Linked DNA regions of Cricetulus griseus. The protein of the gene in region 3 interacts with the protein of the main gene of each other region in a biochemical or structural test. Links are inferred from orthologs where the notes say so. Each region holds a gene or a part of one and is shown on either strand. Other genes may lie near its edges.

Region 1 (4,114 bases), on a different chromosome or scaffold from region 3:
GGGTTCAGGCGGGTCAGGTCATGTCGTTTCTCTGAAAGGTTGAAGAGCTGAAATAAAGGGAAGAGTTAGATGAAGGCAACTTCAGACAGAGGAGCTGGAGGTGGACCCTCAATCTTACTCTAAAATAAGATTGCAATCATCTGGAACTGAATTCTCTGCGAGCTGCTGCGCGCCCCACTGAGCTCAGGCCCGGCCTGGCCCGCCCGGCCCGCCCCGCCCCGCCTCGCCCGCCCGGCCCGCCCCGCCCCGCCTCGCCCGCCCGGCCCGCCCCGCCCCGCCTCGCCTTTGTACACTAATACCCGCCTCCTGCCAGTTCCATTTCTGATGACAAACAGTAGCCTTGCTCATTTGGACCTCCCAGCCCTCTCATTGGTTGAATTTGGCCAACCCGCTCCTCACCAGGTACTTGTCCCGGTGCTTGGATTGCAGCACATGGGCCAGTTCGCGCAGGTGGCCCCGGTGTCGCTGCTCGTCCGGCCGTGCGGGGAAAGCTGCAGCCAAGATCCTCTCGGTCACATAGGTGAGGTCCAAGTCCCAGCGACGCTCCATGAGCGGATCCAGGCTGAAGCTCCTGGAGAGGTCGCAAAGCTGATTTAGGGAACAGAGGCGAGGCGCCCCACGGGGCTAGTATTATGAGAAAGGTCCTGGGGAGCGCTGGGAGGCCTGCTAGGTCCCGAGGGTGCGTGGTCCTGAGGGGGAGCATTGTCCTGGGGTGTTCTATTGGGGACCAATGCCATGAGCTGTGTGGGGGTCCTGTGCAAAGTGCCCACGTGGGATCACCGGGCGCTCTCACCTGGGTAGAGTGCTGCGTTGCTTTGAGTGGTTCAGGGACTTGGTGGATCCCTGGTGGATGAGAAACCGTACATCGACATCGTCTTTGGACGCATCTCTTCTAGACTTCCCAGTTCAAAGTTCCACAAACCGTGGTCTCCCAAAAGCTACCCACCCCCCACCCCCAGACCCCTAAGCATCCCTTACCAGGTGTTCTATGCGCCGTACTGGGGCAGTGTTTCTCCGCTAGAGGGAGGAGGTGGGGGAGGAAATGGGAGTGGTTAGGGCAGGGGCAATGACCAGTCTGGACCTGGAGGGTGGGGGTGGGAGGGCATGTCCGTGTCTATCTACTCCCTGGGGGAAAAGAGGGAACTCCAGTCTCCCCCCCCCCCGCCCCTCCCGCACCCCAGGCTCTAGAGGACAGTAACAGCGGAGAGCTAGAACAGTCAGTAACTACAACGCTCAGTTTTAGGTAACCTCCTGGCGCCCCCACTCTGAGACCACCAGACCTCTGGACACTAGTCAGGTTACTATCTTCCCTGCCCCATCCTAGAGCACTCACCAGCTCCGCGGGGGGCAAGGCCTGACAGGATGAAGTCACCTGGAAGGAGATGAGTGACTGAGCTGGTGAAAGATAACGTGGAGGGGCTGTCAACTGATGAGTACAGGCTCCAGCTGAGGTTCCTCTATTCCTCTATTTAAGGGAAGCCTTGCTTCTGGCCTCCTGGTCCCCCACCTCTCAGGCCCCCTGCTTGTTGCTTTTGGCTCTCAGCCCCCTGCCCAAACAGACCCCCATTCATCCAGCTGCAGGACAGGAGTTATATATAGGGGCGGGCAGGCAGGCAATGGCCAGGGGTGGACACTAGCCTCTTTCACCGTTGAGACCCCACCCATGGGCACATAGCTCCCCCAAGCTAGCTTGAGGCCCTGGGACTACCCCCTGCACTGAAGGAGGAACCAGGAGCATTCCTCAGGGATGGGGCTGTTTCAGGTTCTCAGTAGACAGTGGGTGCCACCTACACCATGTACCTGTAGAGGTCCAGCCCTTCCAGCACCCAGGTTAAGACCAACTTGGGCATCCTGAGGACCCTTCCCCAGAGGGAAGGTACAGCCTATTCCAGTGCCTGGTCTCTGAAACCCTGCTCCCTCTCTGTCCACCCCACCCTTCCTCCTCCTGCTTCTCCACCCCCCCATCCTCTCGCCAGCTGCAGCCTGGGCACAGCACCAAGACAAACGCTGCCGACTCACTGTCCACCCTCCTGGGCCAACCCTCCAGGGGTGGAGTAGAGTAGTTCTTAAAGGGCCCGGCACAACACCCCTGCCACCCAGGAGGGGTCTCCAGGAATGGCAGGGGACTGGGTGGAAGAAACATGCCAGTATGGCTGAAAAAGCGTGTCTGGGCAGTGAAAAGACTCCATCCCCCATCAGCTAGGACCAGGTACCCACCTTTGCTTCGCATTTTCTGTGTGTGGCCACCTTGCAGACTAGAGAAGGAGGGGAGAACAGCAGAGGCTTAGAGGGCAGTGAAAGTGGGCACCCTCCACTTCCCCAGGCCCTGAAAGTCAACCCTGGGACTTAACACTAGATTGCTGGAGCAGTGAGCAGGGCAGGGTACCAGCAGGTTCTGCTCCAGAGTCTGGGATTCAGGCCAGAGGTCTAGGATGAATGGAGGCAAGGAGGAAGGGCAGCCTCTAGTCACAGGTGAGGATGGGAAGGTGGCAGAGTCACAGATCTACTGGGCTGTGGCAAGGTGGGTGTCATGCAAGTGAGGGCATTTGTCCCTGCTCTGTAAGCCTGCCTGTTCCTAGAGCCACCCAGCACAGTGGTGTTGAGTGGAGGGCTCTGGATACGCAGGAAGAGCACCTCACCTCGGCAGGAGACACCGGTCCCATCGATGGTCACTTTACACACTGCACACACCGGAGCTTTCTTCCGGAAAACCTTCTCCCGGAAGCTGTGTGGTTCTGCTTTCCTAGGCTGCGGGTGGGATGACAGATAGATAGAGGTATGAGTTCCTAGTGGACCCATCTCTGAGGCTGAATTGGAAACCTTGCCTTGGATAGACGCTGCTGCTTCCCTCCCTTCTAGTTCAAAGCCTCTGAACTCCCAGGCACACTTGGCCACAGCTGTCTCGGGGTAGTCATGGGGCCTGTCCTCTACAGGACTTGGAATGTGACCCCTTGCATCACCTTGGCTGGGTCAACTCCTCCCTAAGGGATCACTTAGGTCCCCTCACGTGGCCCTGCTATGTGATGTCCTTGTCACTGCCACTTCAAATGTGAGGGGTTTCCAAATCTTGGCAGAGTGGGGGTCTGACTCTTTCCATCTTGCCCTCCCCAGATGAGGTTTGTATACATGAGCTGATGGCCCAGACACACATGCACATTGTCACATAACACCCAGACTGGCTGTAGCCAGTCCTGAGCCCCTGGCTCTCAATGTCTCCAAGCTCCAGGCAGCTGACATGCCCCCCTCCCTCAGGGTCAGAACAACGTGTTTACTCTTTGTGCATTGAGGCTGCAAGCAGCAGTTGTATAAGAAGGGGGTGGCAATGTTGGAAGGAGGAATGACAGCGGGGACAGACAAGCAGCTGCCTTGCTGCCTCTGTGTGTCCCCTCCCTATCCAGCGACAGTGAAGCTAGCAGCTGGGGTGCTTCCAGTTGCCCAGGTCCTACTTCAGTCCCTCCCATTGCAGGCCGTGCCTCCCACCCCAAGTCTGTGGACAGTCCCTCCACACTCTTCATCTGTATACCAGCTCCTGCTGTCCCCTCTCCCTGGATCTGCCCACCACAGTGTTAACACCTTCGAAAGGCAAGGGGGAGGAACAGCTTTGGTCCCTTGAGTGTTCCAGACCTCTTCTGGACTGGAGGTGGGACCCACTAGGATACTTGGACATACTTGTTGATAACATCATGTGCAGATGACGTCAGTGGAAGGCATCCTCCCAGTCACAGTGCCTGGAGACCTGGCCTCCTCCCTACCTTTCATAGCTTTTTTCCCATCCCTTTTCTCTCAAGCTTCCCTGGGAGGTCAGGGCTTAAGCTCTTTGCTGAACTCCCAGGGCTTATTCAGGCTCAAGCAAGGAAAGGCAGAGAAGTCCAAACAGATGGCAGGATCATACTGCCACCCTGGCCACCTCAGGGGGGCAGGGGAATGAGGGGAATACTGAGGCAAGGTAAGGAGCAGGAGAAGAGGCTGAAATTAGCAAGAGGGTCTGGCCTGAATCCTGGCCCTCCCCCCTTGTCCACACCTCCACCCTGCCCCACCTTTGCCCAGCTGGTGGGCACTCCTACCCTGCTGGTGGCCCGGCTGCTGTCCCTCCCCAGGGCTCTGAGCAACCTTT
Region 2 (3,601 bases), on a different chromosome or scaffold from region 3:
AAACCAAGTTATACTTATGAAATAGCAACGAAAATAATTTATGGTTGGGGTTCACAATATGAGTGAGGAAAGCATTAGGAAAGTTGAGAACCACTGGTCTAGCTGTTTGTATTCAGGGTTGGCACGTCTGAAAACATACCTTTTTTAAATTTTACCAACACCCTTAAAGATTATTCTAAATCATAATCTTAACATTTGACCTTCTATTTCTGAGGTTTTAGGGATATTTAATGAGCACTCATCTTTATTTTGATTTTTTATTGTTGTTTTTATAGGTTTGGGGGGTTGTATTGTTTTGTTTGGGACAGGATCTCTCTATGTAGCTCTGGCTGTCCAGAAACTGATTGTGTAGACCAGGCTGGCCTTGGACTCACAGAGATCTGCCTACTTCTACCTCTCAAGTGCTGGGATTAAAGATGTGTGCCACCAAGCCTGGCTGGCCCAAATTCTGTTCTTGACAAAAATGAAAGGTTAAGTTACTTAGAGAAAATTTTTGACTAATATCTATGCAAAAGACTTAGTTCTAAGAGTTTTCATTTGCCCTGTTTCCAAATGTTTCTCTGTGTTCTCCTTATCTAGTGACAGTTATGTCCCTGAGAACTATATTTTTAAAAGACAGCTTGACTTTACAGGAAGCAGTACAGATAGACAGCGTCGCTTCTTGGACACGTAGGGGACGTTTCCTCAAGGGAGGTTGGGGCATGTTCACCCATCTTGGGAGGTCAGTATGAAAAGAGTTGGTAGATATGTGGTCAGAGGGTTATGCCAACTTCTAGTAAGACAGCCTCAGCTTTTAGGGGTGCTCTCACCCCTCAGAACTGGGGCCCTGATGTCCTAGTATATAAGGAGCTGGCATGGAGAGCAGATAGTTTGGCTGGGCTTAAGGGATCAAGCATGTGTTCAAGAACACTGGAGACACATGGGGAAAGCAGGCTTGGACCAGAACCATCTGGAAAGCCTCAGGTCCAAACAGGAAAGGGAGAGTGGTAGATGAAGGCAGTGGTCTTTTCTGAGAGTGTTCTGTCTCAGGAGCTCAGGACAGAAAGTTATCTCTGAAGGGAAAGGACCTGAAGCTCCAAAACTTGTTCTGTGGCACAAGAGCCTGTAGAATCAAGGTGCCAAGGGGTGGGGTGTGTGTGGACAATTGAGCAGAGGAGTGACCAAGGACAGATATGCTATGAAAGTGATGTGCTGGAAAGAACTCCACAGGCTTGTTGCTGAGACTCTTGGCTTCTCTGTCACATGAAGCCTTCCCAGGAGATGAGAGGAAGAAGCCAGGATGGCTGCCTGGAATTTTGGGGACCACCTCCTGGAAGAGGATAGATGGGAAGGGACTATGGCTCCTTCTTTACTCGCTCCTTGACAGCACGTAGTATCTGAGGTATGTTTGATATGTTTCCTATCCCGGTAAGGTGAAGGATGTTGCACACCTTCAATGGAGGTCCAGGATAATCACGAAGGCGCTCTTTGGTGGGTCCTGGCCACGTCCAAGGAACTCAGACCAGGTTCTCATACCTAGTGATGCCTGAGAGTTTCTCACACAGTTCTTTGAAGCAAGGTCTCTGCTTGGGGTCCTGGCTCCAACAGCTGAGCATCAGCTTGTACATGTTGGGTGGGCATTCCAGGGGGCATGACATGCGGTAGCCGGCATCCACCCTCAGGAAGGCCTCATGATTGGACATGCCTGTGGCCCATGGGAGAAGAGAAATGAGAGCTAAGAGTCTGATGCCCACCCTCCAATCCCTGGACACCACACCCAGCTGCCTTTGACCCCTCCCTGGATGCTGTCTCCAACAAGAATGACGACCACATGCTCTGGACATTTTCCAGGACACTGTGGCTGTTGCCTTCCCTGAGGACAGTGTCTCCTGGAGTGATCTCAGCAGCGTGCTCCTGGATGCTCAAAGAATGGAACAGGGGTGGGGGCTGGTTGAGGCTATGGAAAGCGCCTCCTGTCATCTCAGCCATCCAAGACCTGCCCCCACACCACCTCACTGCCTATCAACAGTTGGGGACATTCTTGGAACAATACCTGGGTAGGGCATCTGCCCCCTGCTGAAAATTTCATGGAGGAGAACCCCAAAAGACCAGACGTCAGATTTGATGGAGTAATGTCCTCGGGAGAGTGCCTCGGGTGCTGTCCATTTGTAAGGGATGTTGTGGTCATGGGAAAGGTAGATGTCTTCCTGTAATAAGATGACATGGTGGGGCCCTGACACTAGAGGGAGCTGCCACTTGTACCCTTCCTGTGTAGCATGGACAGACATGGATGCCAAGGTCCAAGTGGGCAGGTGTAAACACACTGCCTTATTGTCTGACCTATTGACTCCACCCCACTGCAGCCAAAGGTGCTAGAATCATGGATAGGCCCTGTGTATCAAAAGTGCCAGTTCACTGGGATTCTGGCAGGGGGAGAGTACCACAAGGGGAGAGCTGCAATGTGTGGGGACAGAAGACCAGTGTACATGGTTATGTCCAGGATACCCAGAGCTGGCCCAATGTGGCATAAACAAGGTTGTGGCTATATGAATGAAGCCATTGCCTTGCCTATTAACAACGCCCTATCGAGAACTCATCTTGCCCATGGCTGGGTTCTGCTAGAGGCTTGGAAAATAAAACCCCATATCCTGCTTCAGGCTTCTTCCAGAGTCCTACCTTGACAAGCCTGGCCAGCCCGAAGTCCCCCACTTTGCAGAGATTGTTCTCTGCAACAAGGACATTCCTAGCAGCTAGGTCACGGTGGATGTAATTCTGAGATTCCAGGTAGCACATGCCCTCAGCGACCTGTGATGCAAAGTCCACCAGCTCCGAAATAGGCAGGGCTTCCTCATCAGAGTCTGCAGGGTGATCAGAGGCCAGAGTCAGTTGGCCAGAGCTCAGTCCTCATTTTCTGGGCCTATGAAGGCTCCAGCAAAGGGCAGCTGGTCTGGCTTATTTGGAAAGTGGACAATCCTAGACCTTCCGCAGTACCTAGAGACAAAGAGCACACACATGCTCTTTGTCCCATACACCTTCTGGGAATTATAAAGCAATCTAAGGCCAAAGATGTTGCTGCAAGATATACTTGGCATAGTGTAACCACTGAACTCTCTAGATGCTGTCCATCCAGAAACTGCTACTGTTGTAATTTAAGAAAAGCAGTGTAGGAGAGAAAGATGCCATGAGACAGGGTTCAAACAGAGGGATTTTTATTAGCAAAAGGGGTCATAAAAAGGGAAAAGGGGAGGAGGGAGACCAGCCTCTGGGGATGGGAGCAGCAGTAGAAAGAAATGGGGGGGGAGAAGGGGGGAACAGACAGAGAGAGAGGAAGAGAATAAGAGAGAGGAATGGCAGGTGGACAGGGCCCTTTTAAAAGGGAACATAGTGAATATGCACAGTTGTTGTTCTTAGTGGCTGCAGCCGAGGGCATATCCTGTTAGAACCCCGAGGACAGGCCAGTACAGATGCCTGAATACTAACAGCTACACCTACAAGGGGCATGCATTTGATCTCTGAAGACCACTTCCTGCCGAAAATTACACAACTTTACTCTTCTAAATGCTTTTGATATGTTAATACATATACCCCCAGGCATGACTGTCCTACACTGCCACCCTACCTT
Region 3 (4,781 bases):
CACAGTTCAGCCCACAATGAGTCGATTCTATCCAGGAGGAGGGGGCTGCCCCACCCTATCCCAGACACCCCATCCTCAGCAGCACCCCCCTCTTACCCCGGAGCTTTGGGCTCAGACAAGTGACCTCACTTCAGGGACAAGCCCTGGTAGTAGGGTGGGGGTCAATGGGAGCTTTGTCTCCAAAGCTGGATAAGGAGCTGGCGACCTCCCCTTTCCTGAATTCTGGCTTCTCTTCTACTCCCTTCCCCTAAGCCAACATGCTCCAGCTCCCCCAGCACCTCTCCAGCCCCGGAGAGAAACAGAACAGACCCTTCACACCCTCTGAAGCCTTCTTCCCAATTTCACTGTCAGCAGGATTCATTAAAGACTTCTAACAGTGGCAATGCTCCTCAGCAGGAGAGATGGCTCCAGGGGAGAGCCAGAAGAGTGGCCAGTACACTCCAGTCTCAGGCTTTCACTTTCCTTTGTAAAAAGGGAAGTCTTGGTCCTTGGTGCTCTATGGATCTTTCCTCTGACACAGAGGAAGAGCATATGGGGAGGGTAGAGGTAGGGGTGCGAACCACCTGCTTTCACCACCCTTCCCTGAGGCAGGGCAAGAGCATAACAGTGGGAGAGAGAGCAGAGGCCCCAGCTCCTCCTGCTACATACACCTCTGGTCTGGCCCCTTCTTTAAGATCCTTATCCCTAGGCCAGCACTTGGGAGGAGGCAGGCTGATCTCTGTGAGTTCGTGGTCAGCCTGGTCTACAGAGCGAGTGCCAGGATAGACTCCAAAGCTAAACAAAGAAACCCTGTCTCGGAAAACCGATAAATAAATAAATAAATAAATAAATAAATAAAGCCCTCTTCCCTATCAGTCTCCATAACAGAAAGAGTGAGCTATTCCCAGCAAGGAGGCATGAACAGCCTGGAGGCTCCCAGAGGCACCTGGGAACCCCAGGGTCCTCGGGCTGAAGTGAAAGACTAGGAAGGTTAGTCATTTCTGAAACTGCCCCACCCCTGTCCCCTTCCTGGCAGGACACCCCTCTGCCAACCCTTCTCCCAGATAAGGGAGGAGCTAGGATCTCTGTATAGGGAAGTGGTGTGTACGTGTGTTGAGCACTGCCACACCGTGCACAACTGGTGCACCAACATGTACACAGTTCCCCGGCTCAGAAACATATATCGCTCTGGCCCTGCCTGGAGTCTGTATTGAGACGTATCACAAGTGGCCAGCGCATCCCATCTGCCCACAGTACCTTGTACACCTTGCGTCTTATGCTTTGCAAGGGCCTTACAGGTCTCGGTTACCTGCCACCCTGAGGGCAAAGTCCATATTTCACAAACAGGGGCAAAGGGCCTGGGCAGGACGGGAGTATAAACAACTACCCAGGAGGAGCCAGGCAACTTGGGGACCGGCGGCAAGGAAGCAGCAAGAACTGCCTGTTGGTGGGACCTAAGCTCAAAGAGGAGCGATGTCAGAGCCCTTCTTATATGTAGAGCACAGACTGGGGTTGGACAGAGCAAGAACATGCAGCCCCTCAGAAGTCTCCCCTCCACTGCCCCAGCCACACACACAAGGGGACAAAGGGGCTATACAAGGCTTGAGACAGGGCCGGATGCCCAGAGGCTGCAGGATAGAGATAAAGGGTAGAGAGAGACTCAACCATGCCTGCTCCCTGCTTCTCGGGGAGGGTGGTGGGAATCCCGGACTCCTGGGTTCCTGGTTGGGGGGGACAGAGGGGGAGAGAGCACACAATCAGATGGAAGAGTGATCCGGTCACTCCCCTGGCACCTCCCCCTCCAGTCTCCAGACCACCCCCTCCACCAGCTGGGAGTGTTCACGCCTCAAGATCCCAGGGGCTAAATTTAGGCCCAGCAACTGTGGGGGAAGCACAGGTGGTTTCTCCCACTCCCACTCTGGGGAAGGGGCCCTGGCTGTACCCCAAGATGAGATGGGGTGGGCGTGAAGCGAGATCAACGGGACTCGAAGTACACCAGCCCCAGAACTCTCCAGGTGCCCCTAGTCCCAGAGACAGCCAGAGGAATGGGCTCAGACGGCGTGGAATGGGGGTATAGAGAAGTAAAATCTAGCCTCTGTCTGAAGTTAGACAACTGAATGGGGGAAGGGAAGAAGTTGGGTCTAGGAGCGAGTTCACGGAATAGGATGTTCAGAAGGTAGGAGAGAGAGAACTAGGGCTAACTGTCCTTTCCCCCACACCTGCAGCTCAGGAAATAGTACAGTACATAGTAGATGCTCCACATGTTAATTGAATTGACCCGGCCTCGGTAAAGAGAAACTGGCTAAGTTGGGGACCAGCTTATCTTGTGGGAAGGCAGCCAGCCAGCCTCCGTGAGGCCTCTCACTCTGAAGTCACCTGGACTTGGCCCTCAGGTTAATCTCAGCCTTCTCAAGGCAGCCCCACTCACGGAAGAGGAGGTGCCATTCTTGTTTTTCCAACATCAGAAAACAACAACTTCAACCCTTGCATAGCTCCGCCCTGCCGGCAAAACAACGAAACTGGGGGTTGCTGAAACCTGGGGCGGGTGGGGTGGGGACCAGGGAGCCAGAGAGCAAACCGAGACCCTTCAAGTCAAGGCTCCTCGGGTTTGCAGAAGGGTCCCTGCCCGCCCTCTCTGCAAGGCCCTCAGATGCTGTCCACATCAACCTGATCAGAAAAACACCAATCAGAGGGTCAGCGACGCCCCGGGGGAGAAGGGGAGAAGGCATCCAGGAATGCAGTCCCTGCCCAGCCCACTCCGAGAATCAAGCCACACGCTCCCCTCCAAGGTGGTCCCGGTAGACTCGGGGTCGCACCCCGCAGTTGAGCGCGCCAGAACCCGAACCCCTTGCCCAGGGTCTGCGCGCGCTCAGGTCGCGCTCGCTCTCCGCTTCCAGCCGGCTGAGGCTCCCCGCGCCGCTTACCTGCCTGAGAGTTGCCCATCTCGGAACCCCGGGTCAGGCTGAGAAGGAAGCCCAGCACCTGCAGAGTCCCAATCGCCCTCATGATTGCAGCGGAGGGTGAAGGGAGCCCAGCCGAGTCTGGCCCGGGGGCCCCTGGGTTAGGACATCGAAGCGACAGCCACCTGAGCAGCCCGGCGCATAGGTGGTGGCGGCAATCGGAGATTGCAAACTGCAGCAGGAGCCGGAGTCGGAGTCCCGAGCGGGACGGCAGAGGAGGGTGTCTGTCTGGGAAGGAGGGACGGAGGGAGGGGAAGGGGGAAGGGGGTGTGAGTCACGGCCGCGCCCCCTCCTGTGCGAGGCTGGAGTCGCCGGTGGCTGCAGCCTGGGACACCCGCCCGGAGCGCGCCCCGCCAGCCCGCAGCTTGGCCAAGAGGGTCAAGGAGGGGTCTCACTCTAGCAATTTCCCCCGGAGATGGCTAAGAAGACATCAAGAACCCAAATGTCCCCGGGCCGGGGAAAGGTAGTGGATGCGGGTGGGGAGAGCGCCAAAGCCCAGCCCCCTGAAAGCTGGCCTCGCCCATTAACCAAATCACCCAACTCCCCTAGCCGGTTGGATCACTTGAGGGGTTTGTTTTTTTCTTTTCTTTTGGAGTGTGAATATTTCTACTTTTCTGAGTGGGAGGTTGTTTTTTAGCCTAGAGTCCATGCCACCTCCCTTTCCCCGGTACGCAAAGCCCCATAACTCAAGTATCCGGCCCGGGAACCCGAGCCCCGGAGGCCGCGTGAAATTGCACTGTCTCCGGCCGCTTCCTCCCGCAGACCCGGCGCCGGCCCGGCCTCTCGGGGGGATTTGTTTGGGGGGCGGGGGTGGTTTCCAGCCTGGGAACATACCCCGGAGCCCGCCTTCCCACTTCTGCCCTGGGAGGGGCTCCCGCACCTGTCGCGGTCCCCTCTGCTGCCCCCCACGGCCGCCGCAGAGAACAGCTGTCTCTGACCGAGTCCACGCCGGGACGACCGACCGACCGCGCCGTCCGTCCGTCCCGCCGTCCGTCTGTCCGTGGTTCCCGCCTCTCTTCCACCGTCGCCACCGCGGCGCTCACACCCGGAGGGGACAGTGAAGAGGAGCGCAGAGAGGTGGCTACAGAAGGCGCCTAGGAACCGCACAGCTCCCGGGACCTCCCGCCTCGCATACCCTGGGTTGCTAGGTCCCGGGCGGGTCCGACGGGCGCCTCCTGGTGCCCAGCCCGTTGCATTTCCCATCCCTTAGGTTGGCATTCCACATCTTGCCTGGAGAACTTACTGTCCCTTGCCCCTGGGCGAAAGCTACTAGCTAAAAACCTTTCTTTTGTTTTTTTCGTTTTGTTTTTTTGAGACAGGGTCTCATATAGCTCAGGCTGGCCTCGAAAAACCAAAAAAGAAAGAAAGAAATGCTGGGTCATACTTTGAGCCCCTCCCCTTCTGTCACCATGTACCACATAGATACGTAGATTTGGAGAAAATTTACAAAATTCACACAAACACGTGACCCAAACCCACAAAAAAAAAAAAAAAAAAAAAGAATACATGAGCTAGGGATGTCACCTCATCTTTTCAGAACTGGAAACTTGTGAATTTTCTCCAGATCTATCTATGTGATTCATTGTGACAGAAGAGGAGGAGCTCAAAGTTTGACCCAGGATTTCCCTCTTTCCTTTCTTTCTCTCTCCCCGTCTTTCTTTCTTTCTTCCTTTCTTTCTTTCCTTTTTTCTTTCTTTCTTTCTGTTTTCTTTCGGTTTTTCAAGACAGGGTTTCCCAGTGTAGCCTCGGTTGTCCTGGAACTCGCTCTGTAGAACACACTAGCCCCAAACTCGCAGAGATCCACCTGCCTCTGCCTCCTGAGTGCTAGAATCAAAGATGTGG
Region 4 (4,114 bases), about 93 Mb from region 3:
GGTTGGCCTCTGGCCTCCACACAGGTATAGTGTGTGTGTGTGCATGCGCGCGCACAGTGAAACCCGTTTCTTTATACTTGCGTGCTCTTAGACATTATTGAAATAAGAAGTAATGACCAATGGTATAGGAAATGAAGTGTTCACACCTTAATTTCATCTCCTTGGTCATTTTTCTGAGGGCATCCATGCCCTTTCTTTTATTCCTTCATTCTAATCCCCCCAGAGAGAAGATTCCAGAAACAAGTTCCTACCTGCCAGGATCCTCTCAGCATTCATCCTGTAGCTCTCTGAAGCTTCAGCCATGAATCTGGCTGTTGCCAAGTGGTTCAGCATAATTTCACAGCTCTCGTCGTTTTTTTCCCACATGTCAGTTCCTTCAAAAGTGACAGCCTGACGTTCCATCAAGGTCACTAGAGGCATCAGCAGTGGGACTGATACACTGCTTGGTGGGACATACTTGGACTCTGAGGAACAAGGAGGAAAGTTCCATATCAGGTTTTGTTGACAGTTAATCACAGGCCGACTGGTAGTCTGTTTCATGTAGCAACTGCAGATCTGGACATGCAATGCCATTGTGTGACTATAAAACTGGAGGGGCCATCATCAGCCTTGCCGATGACAGGGTCTCATCACTTGCCTCGGCGTTTAAAGCGCTGGCAATAGAACAGAGACTGCTTAAGGAGCAGTCTGCGCTCCTGTGCTCACCTCTGCCTTCGTGCAGGGCTTTGCTGAAGGGCTTCAGCTGCTTTTCATAGAGGACGGCTGTTTGGGTGTAGTGGTGCCGTAGAGCAGTCCATGTTTTTTCTAACCTTGTGATCTGGAAGAAGCAAAGCCTGTTGTTTCAGAGAGCCTCTTTTAAAAAAATCACCTTTCTGTTACATGTTGGAGTAGGTGATAGATGTGTATAGCAATGTCAGAAGCATTCTCGAGTTGAGAGAAAAAAACGTAACCCCTCTACCCTGTGTCCGCGTGGTTCTGACGACCCATGCCACAGCTCTTAAGTGCTTGCATGTGTGTCTATACACACTTTGAAAAAAACAAAGGCCTAAAATAACTATAGTTATTTTGTGTGTGAGAGTGGGTGACTCCAAGAAACTTGTAGGAAGGGCACTTAATTTGTTCAGCATCTTGCTTTTAAGGTGGTCACTCTTTTTAATGAAGGAAATTATGTGCCAAGCATGCTCTGATTCCCAGGACACATGACTGCAGCCATGTCACTCGGTGGCAGGGATGGATGTTTATGAGCACCTGGCAGGATTTCAGAGATCATCTGTGTCTAGGAAACGGCCCAGATAAAGACCCAGCTGTGTTGACGCTGCTGGTCTGATCCGGTTTGCAGGCCTCGACTCTACTCCTCAAAGTTCTCCAAGCACTCACACAAGGGAAGACAGCAGATCTCGCTTCCCTGTAGGAGGCCCACTGTATTTGATTCTCTACTGAAAAATAAAATCCAACATCTGTCAATGCAGACAAAGTCAGAGGCTGGACCTGAGACATTCTGCAGGGACGCAGGCGACAAGTGAGAGAGCTGGACATCTGTCTTAAGTAACTGGAGGAAGATACTTTGGGACAGTCTAGGACAGTGATTCCCAACCTTCCTAATACTTCAACCCTTAATACAGTTCATGCTGTGGTGACCCCAACCATAAAATTATTTTCATTGCTACTTCCTAACTGAATTTTGCTACTGTGATATAAATATCTGATGTACGGGATATCTGATATATGACCCTTGGGAAAGGGGTCACTACCCACAGGTTGAGAACTGCTGGTATAGGGATTCTCTGATGTAAGTTCCTTCAATGCCTTGGTTTCCCCAAGTCATTACCCAAACTGCCCACATTCCTGATGACCCAAATGGATGCAGCCACTGGCGTGCCACACACTGGAGCATGGTCTCTTGTCCTAACTGGTTCTTCAGGAATACTGCTTGTTAGTGGGGCTAATTCTTGTTATTATACATCAAACCTGAGATGTGGACTATCAGCAGTTACCAGTGTTTTTATAAACAGAGCCAAAATAGTAGGGACAACACTCTTGGCTGCCTCCAACGAAGGCAGCTTTCACTAAAATTCAGTTTATCTTTAGAGACTGGCGGAAGCAGTCAGCCATACATGGTGCAGATGAACAGAACTCTGCATAGCATTGAATGCTTACTTGTGTGGAAGGCTGCACAAAGCCAGTATCTCACCTGAGGCATCTCTAGGGCTTTCATGATGGCTGAGAAAGAGTAGAGGTCTCCCATGGCATCTTTTAGTTCCACTGCTACCTGGATGATCTTATTGAGGGTACCTGCTCGGTTCTCCAAAGTACCTGTGCAGCCAAGAATGTCCACAGCGATGCCAATGGCCATGGTGTTGTGTCTAAGTGAGAGAAGACCAAGGGTCAGGCTTAGGTCAACAAGATGAGGAGACAATGGCCCTGATATCCGAAAGCAGGGTTATACGTGTGCCACTGGCTGGGAGCCTATTTGGAAAGCTGATCTCAGTAAAGCTCATCCCACACCAGGCAGAGGATGCATTATGGATTCAGGAAGTAAGATGCCCTTGGACATGACCAGGTTCAGCCCTGCACATGGGAATGTAAAGAGGACCGCGGATGCATGTGGCTACATGCTCCCTCTCCTACCATGAGTAGTCTAAGGAGATACCAAGTCCCCCAACAAAAAGGGGATGCTACCCCTGACAAAGACTGGGCACCACTTAGGAATGGAAAAGACAAAGAGAGAGAGAGAGAGAGAGAGAGAGAGAGAGAGAGAGAGAGAGAGAGAGAGAGGATATAATTGATCCAGGAAGATGTCATGGGTCTTAGAACAAGAGCAGGAGAGAGGAGACAAGAACGGTGTTCTGCAGCCCCAGTACAGATACCACAGAATTTGGAGAGGTGGACAAAGACTGAAGGACAGGCAGGAATTCACTGTAAGGTCAGACCCTAATAAAACAAAGCATCCACTCCCCCTACTCCATTCTCCCCTTTCTCACCCTAAACTACATGGGTCAAACTCACAGACTTAGGGCAGGAAACAGGGTGACTTCCCCATGACAATGGGGACCCTATGAACAGGGTTACTCAGAGGCAGGAAGCTCAGACAGTGACCTCTTTCTTTCCCTCTGTAAATCTAAACCCAGGAATTTACTGCACTGGGTCAAAATACTCTTAATTTTTTAGGCTACTATGCAATTGCTGGAGGTAAATCTGTAGCTATGATTCCTAAGATACCATGTGCCTTTGAAACTCCAAGATCACAATGTTCTGAAAGCTCAGAGCCTGGGCTGTTGCTTCTTGCTGAGTTCCTTTTGTGTCAAGGTCATTGGTTTCTCACCTTTCTTGAGCAGAGTGACAGTGATTCAGCTCATGCTCAGCCTTCCCAATTCCCCTAAAGCCTGTTAACTAATGAGCTCACTGTCTCCAAGTATTTTTACATGTATATGTCTGGGGGAGGGTAGGGAAAGGGAGGGAGGGAGAGAAAGACAGACAGACACTAGCTCACGTTAGTGGCCAGCAGGTAGAGGTACTCACATGTTACCAGGAGTGGTGTGTGTGTGTGTGTGTGTGTGTGTGTGTGTGTGTGTGTGTGTGTGTGTGTGTGTGTGTGTGTGTGTGTGTGTGTGTGTGTATGTATATGTATGCATGCATGCATGCGAGGCTTACATGTCAATGGCCAGCAAACTAGAGGTGCTCATGTGTTATGAGAGGGTGCTCCAGGAGTGAGGTGGTAAATCAGAAGTCATGGGTAGTTTTGTATTTGATTCAAGAACAAGAAAATAAAGTCATGGGGCAGTCTGGGATTCCTTCGACCTTGGCCCATATTTAGTTAACACACCATAACTAATCAAACTATCCCCCTGGCTCTGTGGGTAGCTCCCACAGTCACAGATGGATAGGAAACAAATTGGGGTGCAAGGTTCTAGGCAGCAGCACAAAGAAAGGGGTGTTGACCAGAGTTGAGGTCAGAAAACAGGCAGGAGAGTGGCTCCACAGCTGCTGGTCATGGCGTAGGCTTGGAGCTCAGGCCTCAGCACACCTCTCAGTGCCAGAAAAAAAAGTCTCTGGAGATTTCAGACTCCAGGGTATCCTCTAGGAAAGAGGAAGTGAGAGTGGCTGCTTCACCCAG
Region 5 (4,114 bases), on a different chromosome or scaffold from region 3:
TTCATTGGTTAATTTTATATTTTAAGTTTTGTCTTTAACTTTTAGGGATTTTTAAAAATAGGATTAGTGTTGAAACCCAGGGTCACATGCATACCAGGCAAGTGCTATACCCCTGAGAAATATTCCCAACTAATTTTGTTTTTATTGCCATATATTCACTGTACATAGTAATGTGATTCATAAGACTAGTTTATAATGTGTTTTGGTTGTGTTCTTCCCTATGGTACTATATTCCTCTCTGGTCACATTGTTACTTTATGTCAGGATAATTAATACTGAGATACTATATAAGGAAAAATCAGTACCATTTCTAATCAAAACTGTGTTTCTTAAAAAATCTGTCACTGCAAATAAATAAGCAATTTGATTTATTGTGAAGAAGAGTTGTATGTACCTGATATATGTAAATTTATGTATGGGTTGGTCACAAATAATCCTCTTCCCTCAAACAATACCCTTCAGCTGAGCAATACAAATATTTTTATGGAAAAAATCTTTGATATTTTTGCGATTTAAAAAATTAGTTCTTTGAGAATTTTGTATAATATGTTTTGATCTTATTTACCCTTGTCCTCCAAGATCTGTTCCTCTCTCCCAATCCAGGAAATTTTGTGTACTCTTTGTTTTGATAAATCTGTCTTCTCAATTTGTGCTGTCCAAATATTCTTGGATGTGTGGCCTTCCTCAGAAGCATGATTGATTTACCAGGGGCTATTCTTTTAAAGAAAGTTGGCTTTTCTTCTCCTGGTAGCTATCAATTGCCAGCAGCTCCTTGCCAGAAGTGGGAATTTGTACACACCTCCTCTCTTCATGCTTGGATTTGATCTGGCTTAGGTTGCACAGGTCTTGTGCGTGTTGACATAACCACTGTGAGTTCATATGTGAAGCTGTCCTGCTGTGTCTGGAATACATTGTTTCCTTGTAATTTTCCACTGCTTTATACTCTTTTCACTTCTCTTCCTCAATGATCCTTGAGCCTTGGGAGGAAGGGATGTGATATGGATTCTTAGACACATTTTATAATTCATTTTCTTCCATTTCGCATGTAACATCATAGCACATCATTACATATTTGTAAACATTTTCAGAGGAGGGTCTATTGAGCATAAATATTCCTTATCCTATTATCTGATTTGACCCTCCTTATATAATAATATTGTAATTATTTGCACCATGAGAGCAGAAGATTGTCTTGGGTTATCCCCAAATGGGAAATAGGTAAAAACATCTTTGTTTCATGAAATGCATATTGCATTTTTTCTGTCTACAAAATTTGCCTTCTTGTTAAGGTGAATATTAAAGTAGTGCACAATTCTCAGAGCTCAAATCACCTGGCTGGAAGAAAGTTCTCCAGAGTGTACTGAAGATCAGCTGTGATTCAAAACGTGTTTCCATGGATAATTAAGTGATGGCAGTATGGGAAATGCTCAAATTTGAACAAGAACTGAATTCACTGACAGGATAGTAGCCATGATGCTTTTTTGTGTGTGTGATAAATGTCTTTCCAAAATGTGGTAAGTGGCTTATGTACTACTTTCAGGAAAAGCATTTTAGTTTGACATACCATAAGAAAAGGTCATGTCAGGAACATTCTAGCCTCTGTCCTTAGGTAAGTTTAAGACATGTTTTAGAGATGTGATATTAAATTGAACTTTGAATCTATTGGATTATGAAAGAAAATATTCAGAAAATTTCATTTTAAGTAGAACATTACTGAGGACATTAACTTAGTTCCTGGAGGCTAAAGTTATGATGAATTGTTGATTATCATTTATTAAGTATAGATTGTCAGCAATTCATTGTCAAAAGTGTACTGTTCTCTCCCTCTCTGCCAATTTCTGTGCTTTTGGGCTTTTCTGGGTAGTTGGTCACCAGGAGATTCTTAGCTAGTAAGTGAATTACTTATTAGCCTAAGCAAAGCATCATAAATTAGGTCAGTCATTTGCTAAAGAAATGCTGCATCTCAAGTTCAAATTACTTCTCTATGTCCAGTGGTAATTGTCTTCTCTGTCAGCATTGATAATCAAGTGTTAACTATCAGTCTCCATAGAAATGATGCCTTTGTTGAAAATACATGTATAAGCCACAAGAAACAGCCTAAATGAAGTGTGGTTTCAAATGATTCCCCTCTGGGGAAATATGCAGTCTCTCTTCTGGCAGGTGACCTCAGCTTCACTCGAAACTACTTGGTCTAGTCTTAATCTGAAAGGAATGCAGAGACAATTCTGCTGCTTCTGATTTATGTGTGACCTCAACCTGCTTATTAATTTACTTCAATGCAAGATGATTAGGTTACATGTTTATATCTGTGAAATGAGAATAATTGGAAGAATCAATATCTTCCAATTCACGAGGAAATAGTGAACGCAAGAGATGGGAAAGTGTTTTGAAAAATCAAAAAATGCCCTAAGGAAGAAGTAAGGAGGTATTTTGTAGCCATTTGCACGCCTTTGTAATTTGCAGCCTCTGTCTTGAAGCCAAAGAGTTATTTGGGTCTCTGCGAGAATGGCCATGTTATTTTTAGATGAAGCCTCAGCAGAAAATTAGGTCTTCTGATCATAAGAATAGGGATGGGTAGGAGACCATTTTCTGTCCGTTGACACTGGATAGATGAACACTAAATTACAGCTAAAGAGAACATCTACCATGTGTTTATATTGGAAAACTCCCTACTCACTCCAAAGTAGGCAATGACCAAGAGTAACTTTGGATAGTCAGTTATCTCGAGTTTAAAGTCCAGTTGACAGAAGTCTGTGTGCCAGCCTCATATTTTCTCCTTAAATGCTAAAAACCAAGCAGTTCCCATCTCAAAAATCTTCCAGATGGAATAGCTGAAAAACAACTTTCTAAAAAAAAAAAAACTAGAAAGAAGCAAAACTAGTCATTGTTCAATTGCTCGTAGCAATACTATTTTATTTTCTGTAAAATGACAGTTTTGAGCGGGTGCCTAAAGCACAGCTCATAAGCTTTGTGGGGAATGTTGATTTCAGGCAGTGTCCTTGTGAGAGCACAGATGTCAAGGAAAGAATACATTCTTAACAGCCACCTGCAAATTTGATCTCTTTAAAAATGAACAAATACATAAATAAAGATAAACTTGTATAGTCTTTCATTTACATGTCATAGAGGAAACCTTGTCATGGTGCAGGGCTGACTATGCAAACAATTTGGGCAAAGAACACAAAATTAACATGAAGGATGATTCAGTATGTATTATGACGTAAAATAGTATATGCATCGGCCAGCCATGCAGTTGTGTGTATCGTAACAGTCACTTTTTAAATTTCCTGTGTAATATTTGATATTATAAAATGAGGATGGGGGACATGTTGTTGGTTGTTGTTTTGATTTCTCAGGCTTTTTTGTTAATGACCTGTAGGATCTATACATTTTTTTTATGTTTAACTTCATCCCCTCTGTTGCTGAATTCATTGTGGGTAATGGCCTGTACATCCTTAGAGGTTCAGGATGTATGACGGGTAGCAGTCAGGAAGGGCAGGGCTGTGAGAAAGAGCTTGTACAAACTAGTACTACCCTTGGGAGAACTGCAATGACAGCTCATTAGCTCCTCTTGCAAGGAAATTCAGCCAAGCAAAGTAAGCTCTTCTGGATGTTGTTTTCATTTCTTCCTTATGTTTTCAAATATTTGAGCAAGTTACACAAATGTTACCTCTCTGAGCATCCCTCTCACATGTTATAGGTCTTTTTCTTTCTTTTTTTTTTTAGCATCATGAGGCAAATGAATACTTTTTTCATCTTTTATTTTCCAGACAGCACCTGGGGTACACAAAAGATTTTTCCGGAAAATAAAGAATCTGATTTCAGCATTTCAGAAGCCAGATCAAGGCATTGTAATACCTCTGCAGTATCCAGTGGAGAAGTCCTCAGCTAGGAGTACGCAAGGTACCACAGGTGTGGACACCTGCTTAGTTTTCAAACACTTGGGAAGCTTAGATTTAGGGGGTCAACCTATTCATGACCACATAAGCAGCAGGAAGATCATAAGAAAATTTCAACAAGGAGGTAGCTGCAGCCAGAAAATCAGATGAGAGGTAACTATGCAAAAAGGCTCTACTATGCTGTAATATACACTTTTAATAAAACTGTAGAAAAG
Region 6 (3,902 bases), on a different chromosome or scaffold from region 3:
TTCAAGATTCCTTGTGGGCAATTAATCATGGCTATTTCCATACACTGGGGATGTTCCTAAGTGAAATACTTCTCTGGAATATGAACAACCCCACCACTCTTGAAATACTGGCTTTTCTAGTGTTTGTGGATTGGGAATAAAATGATGGGTTGTTGTTTGTTGTTATTCCTTGTCTTTCAGGCATCAGGAGCCCCTCTCCCCAAGCTGTGATTTTTCTGGGCTGAGCCTGCTAACTACAGAGCAGAGCTCTGGAAAATCACAGTCTGATGAGAGCAGGAGGGCTGTGTTGAATAGATGCCCAGAAAGGGAGAGAAGGGGACAGAAACCCACCCTTCTGGCTTGATATTTTAATCTTGGCATTTCAACAAAAGCAGCAACTCCAAAGAGATGATTTCCCAAATGGTAGTTCCCAGCACAGTCTGCCTACGGTTTCTATTCTGATTTAGTCTCTTTATCAGGAGTCTTAAAGTGTCAGAGAGAGATGAAACACATTACTTTTTAGCCTTGAAAGTGAAGGCAAGTGAAAGCCAAGAGAAATGAATAAAACAGCTTCCTTCATTTTCTGTGGGGAAAGTTCAACAAACCAGAGTCTGTGTGAGTCCACCACCTAGTTCTTCAAGATGATAAATTATTGAATCCAGAGGCTTTAGAAACATCCAGTTTCTTCAAGAACCGATCTCAGCCTGATAAGACTAGGAAACTGAGCTCCTGAATGAAAAGCCCATTATGAAAAACAAAAAGGACTCGTGACTCTGGGGTGGGAGTTTCATTAGAAATGTTGCCCTGCCTCTCAGGGAGGGCCATTACCAAGGAACAAGCAATTCTGGCTGCCATGATGCAGTCTCAGTAATAAGGGACACCTACCTCATGCCAGCAACTGTACATAACGCCATATATGGACATGGGGGCCAGGTGAGGGCGATACAGGCGGAACCCATTAGAAATGGCTTCCACCACTTGCAGGTTGGACTTATTTTCAAAAGGCATTTTTCCTTCTGTAAAAACTTCCCACATTAGAACTCCTGCAAAGAAAACATGCAAAAACTGGAGTCACTTGGAACCAAAACAACGGTTGGATTCAAATTGCAAGATGTTAATCTGCTCCAGCCTGAGAGTCATAATTGCCCAGAAAAATGCAGTTCTATGTGGTTGCACACCCCTGAGTATTTAATAGGTCTGTACCTTGAAAATAATCCCTAAGAAAAACAATGCCTCCTTGCCTTTTGTTTTGGTCGCGGCATCTCCTATGGTGCACATTGTGGCAGCATTTTCATTGCTAAGTGCTGCTCCTGTTCCCTCCTCCTCCTGTCCCCACCCCCTCAAATCAATAGATCTGGCTGCTCTTCCATAGACAATGACATATTTGTGGGCCTCTTCTGCCTGCTGCTGCCAGCAGTCCCCCCCCCAACCCCACAGCCAGCAGATGGTGCACATCTGCCTCTGTCCATGAAGAGTCTAAACTGACAGGAAGGCCCTACAGAATGCCGCAAAGGCTGGGATGATACAGCTCAGTTGGTAAAGTTTTTGCTTATAAACAAGAAGACCTGAGGTTGATACCCAGAACCCATGTGAAAATGCCTGGCGCCCCTGAGAGATGCTGTAGTGGTTAAAAGTACTAATGCTTCTCTTGCATGGAACCCATTTGGTTCCCAGCACCCACTGCAGCAGTCCACAACGGCCAGTTACTCCAGCTCCAGGAGATCCAGGCCTCTGGTCTCTGTGCACACATACACTCATGTGCACATACCCATACATATAACTAAAAATAATAAAAATAAATCTGTTTTCAAATGTCTGGCCTGGTGATGTACTCTTGTCATCCAAGTCTGGGGGTGGGGGTGGGGGTGGGAGAGAAGGGTAGAAACAAGCAGATTCCAGGGGCTCACTGACCACCAGTCTAGTCTAATTAGTGAGCTCCAAGCCAATGTGAGGCCGTCTCAAAGGAGGTGGATGGCATTCTGCTTTTAAAAAATAATTTATTTAACTTTGTTTTATGTGCATTGGTGTGAAGTTGTAGGATCCCCAGAACTGGAGTTACAGACAGTTGTGAGCTGCCATGTGGGTGCTGGGAATTGAAGCGGGGTCCTCTGGAAGAGTAGCCAGTGCTCTTAATGGCTGAGCCATCTCCCCAGCTCCGGTAGATGCCATTCTTGAAAATGATACCCAGGATTGTCCCCTGGCCTCCACAGTGTGTGTGTGTGTGTGTGTGTGTGTGTGTGTGTAAAACAAAAAAAAAGAAGCTCACTAGCTCACTAGTTCATTATCCAGGGAGAAGGAAATGTGAGCCTGAGTGAGTTCCAATTGCTCTGCAGCCACTGGAGGAGATTCCTTGTTTTACTATCCACCAGGTCCCTAAAATACACTCACACAGTCCCTCCCCAACAAAGTTCAAACCCTTGCTTGCTGGGAGATCAAGCCAGTAGAGAGTTAACATGGTCAATGATGCAAGCTTAATCTTATCATGCAGAATATTCTCACAGACTTGTAAGGACAAGGACATCTCTCAGGCCCATGCACTTGTGAAGACAAGGGCATCTCTCAGACTCACACACTTGTGAGGACAAGGACATCCCTCTAAACCTCACAGCCACCCAGGAAGACCTAGATGAAAGCTAAGATTTGTGCTCATAAGTTGCCATGATTGGAAAATCGACTCACAGGAACAAGCCGCATTGGGCACAGATCTCCAGTGTCTCTATCTCGGTGGAGAATGTTAGTCAATATGAACATCAATAGACAGAACCCAAGCAGCCAAGGTGCAAATCCCATAAACCTTGACAGTATAAAGTGAAGGTAGTAAGCTGTTGTTTTTCTTAGATCTAGATGTTAAGCTCAAATTGTCAAGTTGGGAAACAATCAAGCCACTGAATAAACAATGGAGCTTATTAAGCACACTGGAAACTCGGTGATGACGTAGATCGTTTCCTTCAAACCTCTGTGATAATGGGAGCATTGGCTGCATTTAGGCCAGCAGATTCCTTGCTATAGCTTCGTGGCACCCGCTCTCTAGGGTAGGAGAGATCCTGAGAATAGAGCAGTGTGAGGGGGTGCATGAATCCAGTTGCCAAAGAAGTTACAAAGAGGCTTTTAGGTTTATTTATTTATCATCTATACAGTGTTCTGCCTGCATGTGTGCCTGCACTCTAGAAGAGGGCATCAGATCTCATTATAGATGGTTGTGAGCCACTGAGTGGTTGCTAGGAATTGAACTCAGAACCTCAGGAAGGGCGGCCAGTGTTCTTAACCTCTGAGCCATCTCTCCAACCTACAAGAAGGCTTTTAAAGACTGCTACATCATGTGAAACAAGCACACAAGCAAGAGTTGAAAAGGCAACCTCTGTATTAAATCCAGCAATAACAAACATACTCACCAAATGACCAGACATCAGATTTGCTACTGTACTTGTTAAAATGAAATACTTCAGGTGGGGACCACTTGACTGGGAACTTAGCTCCCGAGGAACTGATGTATTCATCATCCAAAACGTACCTGCCATCGTGGGATTCAAGCACACTGTATTAATGTCCACCGAGGTCTAATTACTTCAAATACTTCTGTCTGCTCTGACCTGCTGAAACCCAGTGTTTTCCCCTAGAAAAGGCTGTGCACCATGTCATCCTGACGGCGGGCAATGAAGTCTCCCTTTATTTGTTTTCCTCCTCTAGAACCATGTCTCCTTGATTTCATTTTCATTGAATCTCTGAAAACTACAGCTCTATAGTCCCAAAACTTGGGAAGCACTTATGTTCATTAAGGTCCAGTCTTAATTCTGCAAAGAAACAGGCCTGTGCTCTAGCAACGAGGGTAGAGAAAAGGAAACAAATGGTAAGGGACAGGCCACTCATATCATGAAAGATGGACTCAAAGTTGAATGCCATATTTTCTTTCATGTACTTTTTTT
Region 7 (4,894 bases), on a different chromosome or scaffold from region 3:
ATCATCTGTGGGAGCTAAAGCTCTATGGTAAAAGTTCAAATAGGGTCACTGAGCTGGGTCCAACGGCTCGTGCCTATAAACCCAACAACAGTGAGGCAAAGAGACAGGAGGATCTTCCTAAGTTAGAAGTTAGCATTGTCTACATAGTGAGTTCCATGTCAGAGCTACAAAATGATGCCATGTCAAACAAACAGTTATTGGGATAAGGAGACAACCTCTGGCCCATCTATGGAGGTCAGAGGATAACCATCACAAGTGGTTCTCTTATTCTACTCTAGGACCCAAGGATTAAACTCAGATCCTCAGGCTTGCAAGACATGTGCTCTTACCTAGTAAGCCATCCTGCTGGCTCTGACTTTTATTTATTTAAAATTTTGAGCTGGGTGCACTAGTGAACACCTTCAATCCCAGAACTCAGGAGGTAGAGGCAGGAGGATTTTTCAAAGTCAGCCTGGTTTATATAGACAGTTGCAGACCAGATAGGGTTGCACAGTAAGACTCTGTCTCAAAACAAAAGAATGGAGTTTCCTAAGTGCACTTCAGGGATTTCAAAGCAAATAAACAAAGAATAACAAAACTATATAATAAGGGGCCGGGTCAGTTCTCAGGTGACACTGTCTAGCTCAAATTCTGGTTTAGTTATATACTAAATTTGTGACCTTACAAGTTACTGGATTTCTAGTTCTTTCGTCCAAAAACTGGAAATATTTTAATAAATGCACATTGCAATATTTCACTCACTATATTGTTACCGACAGTAACTTCTGTAAGGCACAGAAAGTCCTCAGCAAAGCATCTGGCATACAATAAGCAGTCAATAAGTGTCAGCTATTAATATTATATATGCCTCTCTAAAACTCAAGTAATCCCTATGTAGCTTTAAAACAAAAAGAGCTTAATGGGGGGGGGGCAAAGATTAAGTATCCATCATAAAGTAAAAAACAGCAAGTGAACTGACTGCCCTAAAGAGAAAATAGGGTACATGACAGAACAAATTGCCACAATGCCAATGAACTTTCCTACCCCACCCACAAACTGGCAATCTCCTCTCTTAGACCAACCATCTATTTTGAAAAGGTGGAGCTGCTGAGATATAAAACCACAATGCCCAGGTATGGAGAAATATCAAACTAACAAACCTGCCTGCTACTATTCCCAAGTTTTATAACAAAACACATAGAGAGAAAGCTGAGGACTGAAATTTTCTACCCTACTATTGGAAATAAAACCTGGGCTTCCCTAATGCTAGGCAAATAAACTACCACTGAATTATATTCCCAGTCCCACCCCCATCCTAACTTTTTATTTTGAGGCAGAGTCTTACTAAGTTCTCCAGGATAGCCTGGAACTTGTAAAATCATCTTGCTTCGGTCTCCCAGGTGCTGGGATTACAGGCATTAACTATGACATGTGGTTGGAAATTGAATTTCAATGACAACATACCATCCTAGTACTGCACTTAACATAAAATAGATACCTTGCAGATGGCACAAATACCTTTAGGGCAAATGTGCTACATTAATATTCTTATTTTATTTTACATATTAAACCAATGAGACCTAGAAAGATCTAAATGTGTAAACTAAAAGGACCTCAATACTAAATTCTTCCCTTAACTTGTGTGTGCTAACAAAAAGAACTATCTTTATCGCACCTCATTTCAGGCCAAAGTGAATAAATCTAAGTTAGGACTATCCTAAAAAGGGCAGGTCTGCTATGGTTAGCCAAGGAGTCTTCATTCATGAGACTGGCTCAGATCTAGGAGAAAAAGGCTTTCACTTCAAACATCCAGAAAGCAAGAAACTTGATGCATTACATACATACACAGACAAAGGCAATCACAGAATCACTCTGTATCTCAAAAACCTCAAGTGCTAAGTGGATGTATTTCCTTAACATTGCCAGACAACTCCAACAGTATGGGCAAGGCGGTTACAATTCATTGATCCTTGACAAGACCCCGTGGGATAACTAAAATGCTTGGTGTTATCTTTACAGACAGGTCTGTTCTTGTATCTTGGAAGACTTTGACTACAACACCAACTTACTGAGCAATAAAAGACCCAGAAGTACATGACTGACACTGTTTAAACCCAAGGAGAATGAAGCTCCATTCACTTCCAGGGTTGTTCTCACTGGCTTATACCTGGTTTATTTTCTGAAGGAAAAAAAAAAAAAAAACCTTTCCCCCACTAATCACTTTGAAACTAGAAACTCTAGTTGCAGCAGGCAGTCTTTTGGACACTTCAAACCTCTTGGACAGTTTGCCAGCTAGGCTTCAATTACTCTGGGCTGGTCACAGAAGGCTTTTTTCTATTACCAAGTCACTTAGTTCACCACCTTCGTATTCCACAAGGGAAGAACACGGTAAAAAGATTTTGGAAAAATGCCCAAGAAAGGAAAAAACCGACCGGCTTCCTGAGGGTGTCTCCATCCCTCCCAGCCAGCCAGTACGTGGTGACTTCCTACCGAAGGCCACCAGGGGAGTATGGCCAAAACCGGCTCTAACACTGCAGGAAACGTTTCAAGCCTAAAAGCCACTTGTAGGATTAGCAGATCCATTCTGGGCACCTCTGCCAAATTGTGTCCCCGCAACATCCCCACTAACTCTTTGTCCCCAAGTTGCCTGGCCCTGCCCTGCCCTTGGGCCTGACCCTGGCGCCCAGCCCCACCCCGGGGCCGCAGCAGTTCCCCTTCCCCGGCTCCCAAGGCACACCCAGAGGCCTCGGTGAGCAGCTCCTCCTCCCCCACAATCCCGCTCGTCGGTGGGAACCAGCCTGGGCTGAAGGCAGCTCCCCCGCCAGGGTCACTCCTGCCCTCTCTGCCCACGTCCCTCCTCCTGAAGCGGACCAGAGTTCCACGGCCCTCACCCCCGCCCGGGGCCTCCCGCCCGCCTGTCCCTCACCCGGCGGAGGCTGAGCGGGCGACGGAGGCACTGGAGGGCGCGGGCCGCTGCTGTTGATGATGTAGTGGGAGACACGCGAGTTTTCCGAAACGCTGAGCACATAGTCCCCGGGGCTGGTGCTCGAGTCCCGCACCAGGAACACCCCGTGCCGCTGGCCCTGCAATAGCGCCACCGCCTCCTGCCGGCTCAAGCGGCCCCAGTACCAGCTACTCCGCTCCTCCGAGTCGAAGTTGCCCGCCATGGCCGCCTCCGCGCCTTCACGCTGGGCCGCCGCCGCCACGCGCGCCCCTCCAGCCCTGGCGCCCGCCGCCCAGCGGACCGGCTCCGGTGTCAGCCTCCCAGCAGCGCCCGAAATGGCGGCGGCGGCCGCGGGCCTTCCCCACCGGAAATGACGCGCTCTCTACCCGAGGGAGGCTGCCGGGAAGGGGGACCGCCGCCCGCCATTGGGAGAAGGGAAACGGAGTCCTTGGGGCCCGCAGTGCGCACGCGGCTTCTTCATGGGCGTCGCCTCCAGGTCCAAACCCTGGCGACCGAGGATGGGGAGGCGGAGTCTAGGACTAAGGGGCGGAGCTTCAGTCTGCAAGCTGACTGATGTGTGTCTGACAGATTGGTGGCCTAGGTCTTTCGCCCAGGACCTACAGGAGTGGAGTAGTAAACGGTCCCAAGATGTTAGCCTCCCTCAAAGCTCCCTGACAAGCTGGTATTTTTCTGCTGTTTTCTTCAGTTTCCCCCGAGGTAAGCAGAAGTTCTTGTTACTCAGTAACAATCATAGACGTTACATTTCCCTGCAGGTGCAGTGGTGATCCAGACTGGGCCGTAAGTCACCAAATTCACAGACCAGTGGGAGGAACCAGGAAACAATTAATGACAAAGGAACAACAAATGCTATGATGGAAAACAGGAATATAAAGAGATCAACTAGGCAGTCTGTAGAGGGATCCAAGGGACTGGTAATGTGACTCATGACTGTAACACCAACACTTAGGAAACTGAGACAGGAGGATTACTGTGAGTCTGAGGCCCTACCTTACAAAACCTAAACAACAAACAAGGGTCCACAGATGAGGTGGCTTGAATGATTGGGTGTTGAATGGCAAGTGGGGAAGGATACTCAATGCAAAGAAAACAAAATGCTCAGACAGGAGAAAGGATTGAGGCTCCTATGTCAACCAGACAGTTTCCTCTATATTCTCAGTTGTAGTGATGGATGTCTCCTACTCTCACTTGCTTCATGATCATGATCATCTCTCTCAATTTTTTTTTACTTTGAAATGAAAAAAATTGTTTTTGTTTTTTTGAAACAGGGTTTCTCTGTGTATCCCTCTCTGTCCTCTAACTCACTCTGTAGACCAGGCTGGCCTCAAACACAGAGACCCACCTGCCTCTACCACCCGAGTGCTGGGATTAAAGGCGTGTGCCATCACCAATGCCCTGCTTGACATGAAATCTTATGATGTAGCCCAGGCCGACTCAAGATCCTTCCACGCCAGCCTCCCCAGTACAGGGATTATAAGAATGCACCAACATGCCTGGCTGGCCACTATTGCTAAGATTCCAGTGCACAGCCCGCCTGCTGCTGTTCCTTAGTTTGGCTTGCTGGATGACACTGTAATAGCCATCAGTACAAGTTTTCTAAATACAAATCTGTTGTTACCCTGCATAAAACTTTGAAAATCTTTAAAACTTCCAGTTTAGGGGCTGGAGAGATGGCTTACCAGTTAGGAGCACTGACTGTCCTTCTAGAGAACTCGAGTTCAATTACCAGCACGCACATAGCAACTAACAACTGTCTCTAACTCCAAGTTCTGACCCCCTCACACAGACATACATGCAGGCAAAACACCAGTGTACATAAAAATTTAATTAATTTTACAGAGAAGGAAAGTGAAGCTCAGAATTTAACTGTTTTGCTTTTTTTTTTTTGTGGCATGGGTACATATACCACAACACACGTGTGGAGGTCAAAGACAACTTTGTGGAGTTCGTTCT

What was found.
Region 1: the proteins of Erbb3 (region 3) and Tns2 form a complex in vitro, tested with the Homo sapiens proteins (2 studies listed by BioGRID and IntAct, with this or other methods). The link is inferred for Cricetulus griseus from reciprocal best matches to the Homo sapiens genes ERBB3 and TNS2.
Region 2: the proteins of Erbb3 (region 3) and Ptk6 form a complex in vitro, tested with the Homo sapiens proteins (2 studies listed by BioGRID and IntAct, with this or other methods). The link is inferred for Cricetulus griseus from reciprocal best matches to the Homo sapiens genes ERBB3 and PTK6.
Region 4: the proteins of Erbb3 (region 3) and breast cancer anti-estrogen resistance protein 3 homolog form a complex in vitro, tested with the Homo sapiens proteins (2 studies listed by BioGRID and IntAct, with this or other methods). The link is inferred for Cricetulus griseus from reciprocal best matches to the Homo sapiens genes ERBB3 and BCAR3.
Region 5: the proteins of Erbb3 (region 3) and Sh2d1a form a complex in vitro, tested with the Homo sapiens proteins (2 studies listed by BioGRID and IntAct, with this or other methods). The link is inferred for Cricetulus griseus from reciprocal best matches to the Homo sapiens genes ERBB3 and SH2D1A.
Region 6: the proteins of Erbb3 (region 3) and tyrosine-protein kinase TXK form a complex in vitro, tested with the Homo sapiens proteins (2 studies listed by BioGRID and IntAct, with this or other methods). The link is inferred for Cricetulus griseus from reciprocal best matches to the Homo sapiens genes ERBB3 and TXK.
Region 7: the proteins of Erbb3 (region 3) and Crk form a complex in vitro, tested with the Homo sapiens proteins (2 studies listed by BioGRID and IntAct, with this or other methods). The link is inferred for Cricetulus griseus from reciprocal best matches to the Homo sapiens genes ERBB3 and CRK.

What each region holds. Positions count from the first base shown.
Region 1 is NC_048595.1:398,504,290-398,508,403, reverse strand, and holds part of Tns2 (tensin-2), read right to left. Parts: coding exon of another isoform or gene 4,065-4,114; intron 2,755-4,064; exon of another isoform or gene 2,749-2,754; coding exon 2,640-2,748; intron 2,256-2,639; coding exon 2,218-2,255; intron 1,396-2,217; coding exon of another isoform or gene 1,373-1,395; coding exon 1,334-1,372; intron 1,018-1,333; coding exon 979-1,017; intron 844-978; coding exon 794-843; intron 572-793; coding exon 400-571; intron 48-399; coding exon 1-47. UniProt on the Homo sapiens protein: Tyrosine-protein phosphatase which regulates cell motility, proliferation and muscle-response to insulin. Phosphatase activity is mediated by binding to phosphatidylinositol-3,4,5-triphosphate (PtdIns(3,4,5)P3) via the SH2 domain.
Region 2 is NC_048599.1:707,042-710,642, reverse strand, and holds the end of Ptk6 (protein-tyrosine kinase 6), read right to left. Parts: intron 2,838-3,601; coding exon 2,656-2,837; intron 2,187-2,655; coding exon 2,033-2,186; intron 1,685-2,032; coding exon 1,497-1,684; 3' UTR 868-1,496; downstream 1-867. UniProt on the Homo sapiens protein: Non-receptor tyrosine-protein kinase implicated in the regulation of a variety of signaling pathways that control the differentiation and maintenance of normal epithelia, as well as tumor growth.
Region 3 is NW_023276806.1:129,315,495-129,320,275, reverse strand, and holds the start of Erbb3 (receptor tyrosine-protein kinase erbB-3), read right to left. Parts: upstream 3,104-4,781; 5' UTR 2,986-3,103; coding exon 2,796-2,985; intron 1,297-2,795; coding exon 1,237-1,296; intron 1-1,236. UniProt on the Homo sapiens protein: Tyrosine-protein kinase that plays an essential role as cell surface receptor for neuregulins.
Region 4 is NW_023276806.1:35,982,989-35,987,102, forward strand, and holds part of breast cancer anti-estrogen resistance protein 3 homolog, read right to left. Parts: intron 2,364-4,114; coding exon 2,192-2,363; intron 818-2,191; coding exon 706-817; intron 465-705; coding exon 252-464; intron 1-251. UniProt on the Homo sapiens protein: Acts as an adapter protein downstream of several growth factor receptors to promote cell proliferation, migration, and redistribution of actin fibers.
Region 5 is NC_048604.1:25,494,252-25,498,365, reverse strand, and holds part of Sh2d1a (SH2 domain-containing protein 1A), read left to right. Parts: intron 1-3,770; coding exon 3,771-3,912; intron 3,913-4,114.
Region 6 is NW_023276807.1:139,222,435-139,226,336, forward strand, and holds part of tyrosine-protein kinase TXK, read right to left. Parts: intron 3,491-3,902; coding exon 3,372-3,490; intron 1,023-3,371; coding exon 865-1,022; intron 1-864. UniProt on the Homo sapiens protein: Non-receptor tyrosine kinase that plays a redundant role with ITK in regulation of the adaptive immune response. Regulates the development, function and differentiation of conventional T-cells and nonconventional NKT-cells.
Region 7 is NC_048600.1:89,143,906-89,148,799, reverse strand, and holds the start of Crk (adapter molecule crk), read right to left. Parts: upstream 3,293-4,894; 5' UTR 3,147-3,292; coding exon 2,906-3,146; intron 1-2,905. UniProt on the Homo sapiens protein: Involved in cell branching and adhesion mediated by BCAR1-CRK-RAPGEF1 signaling and activation of RAP1.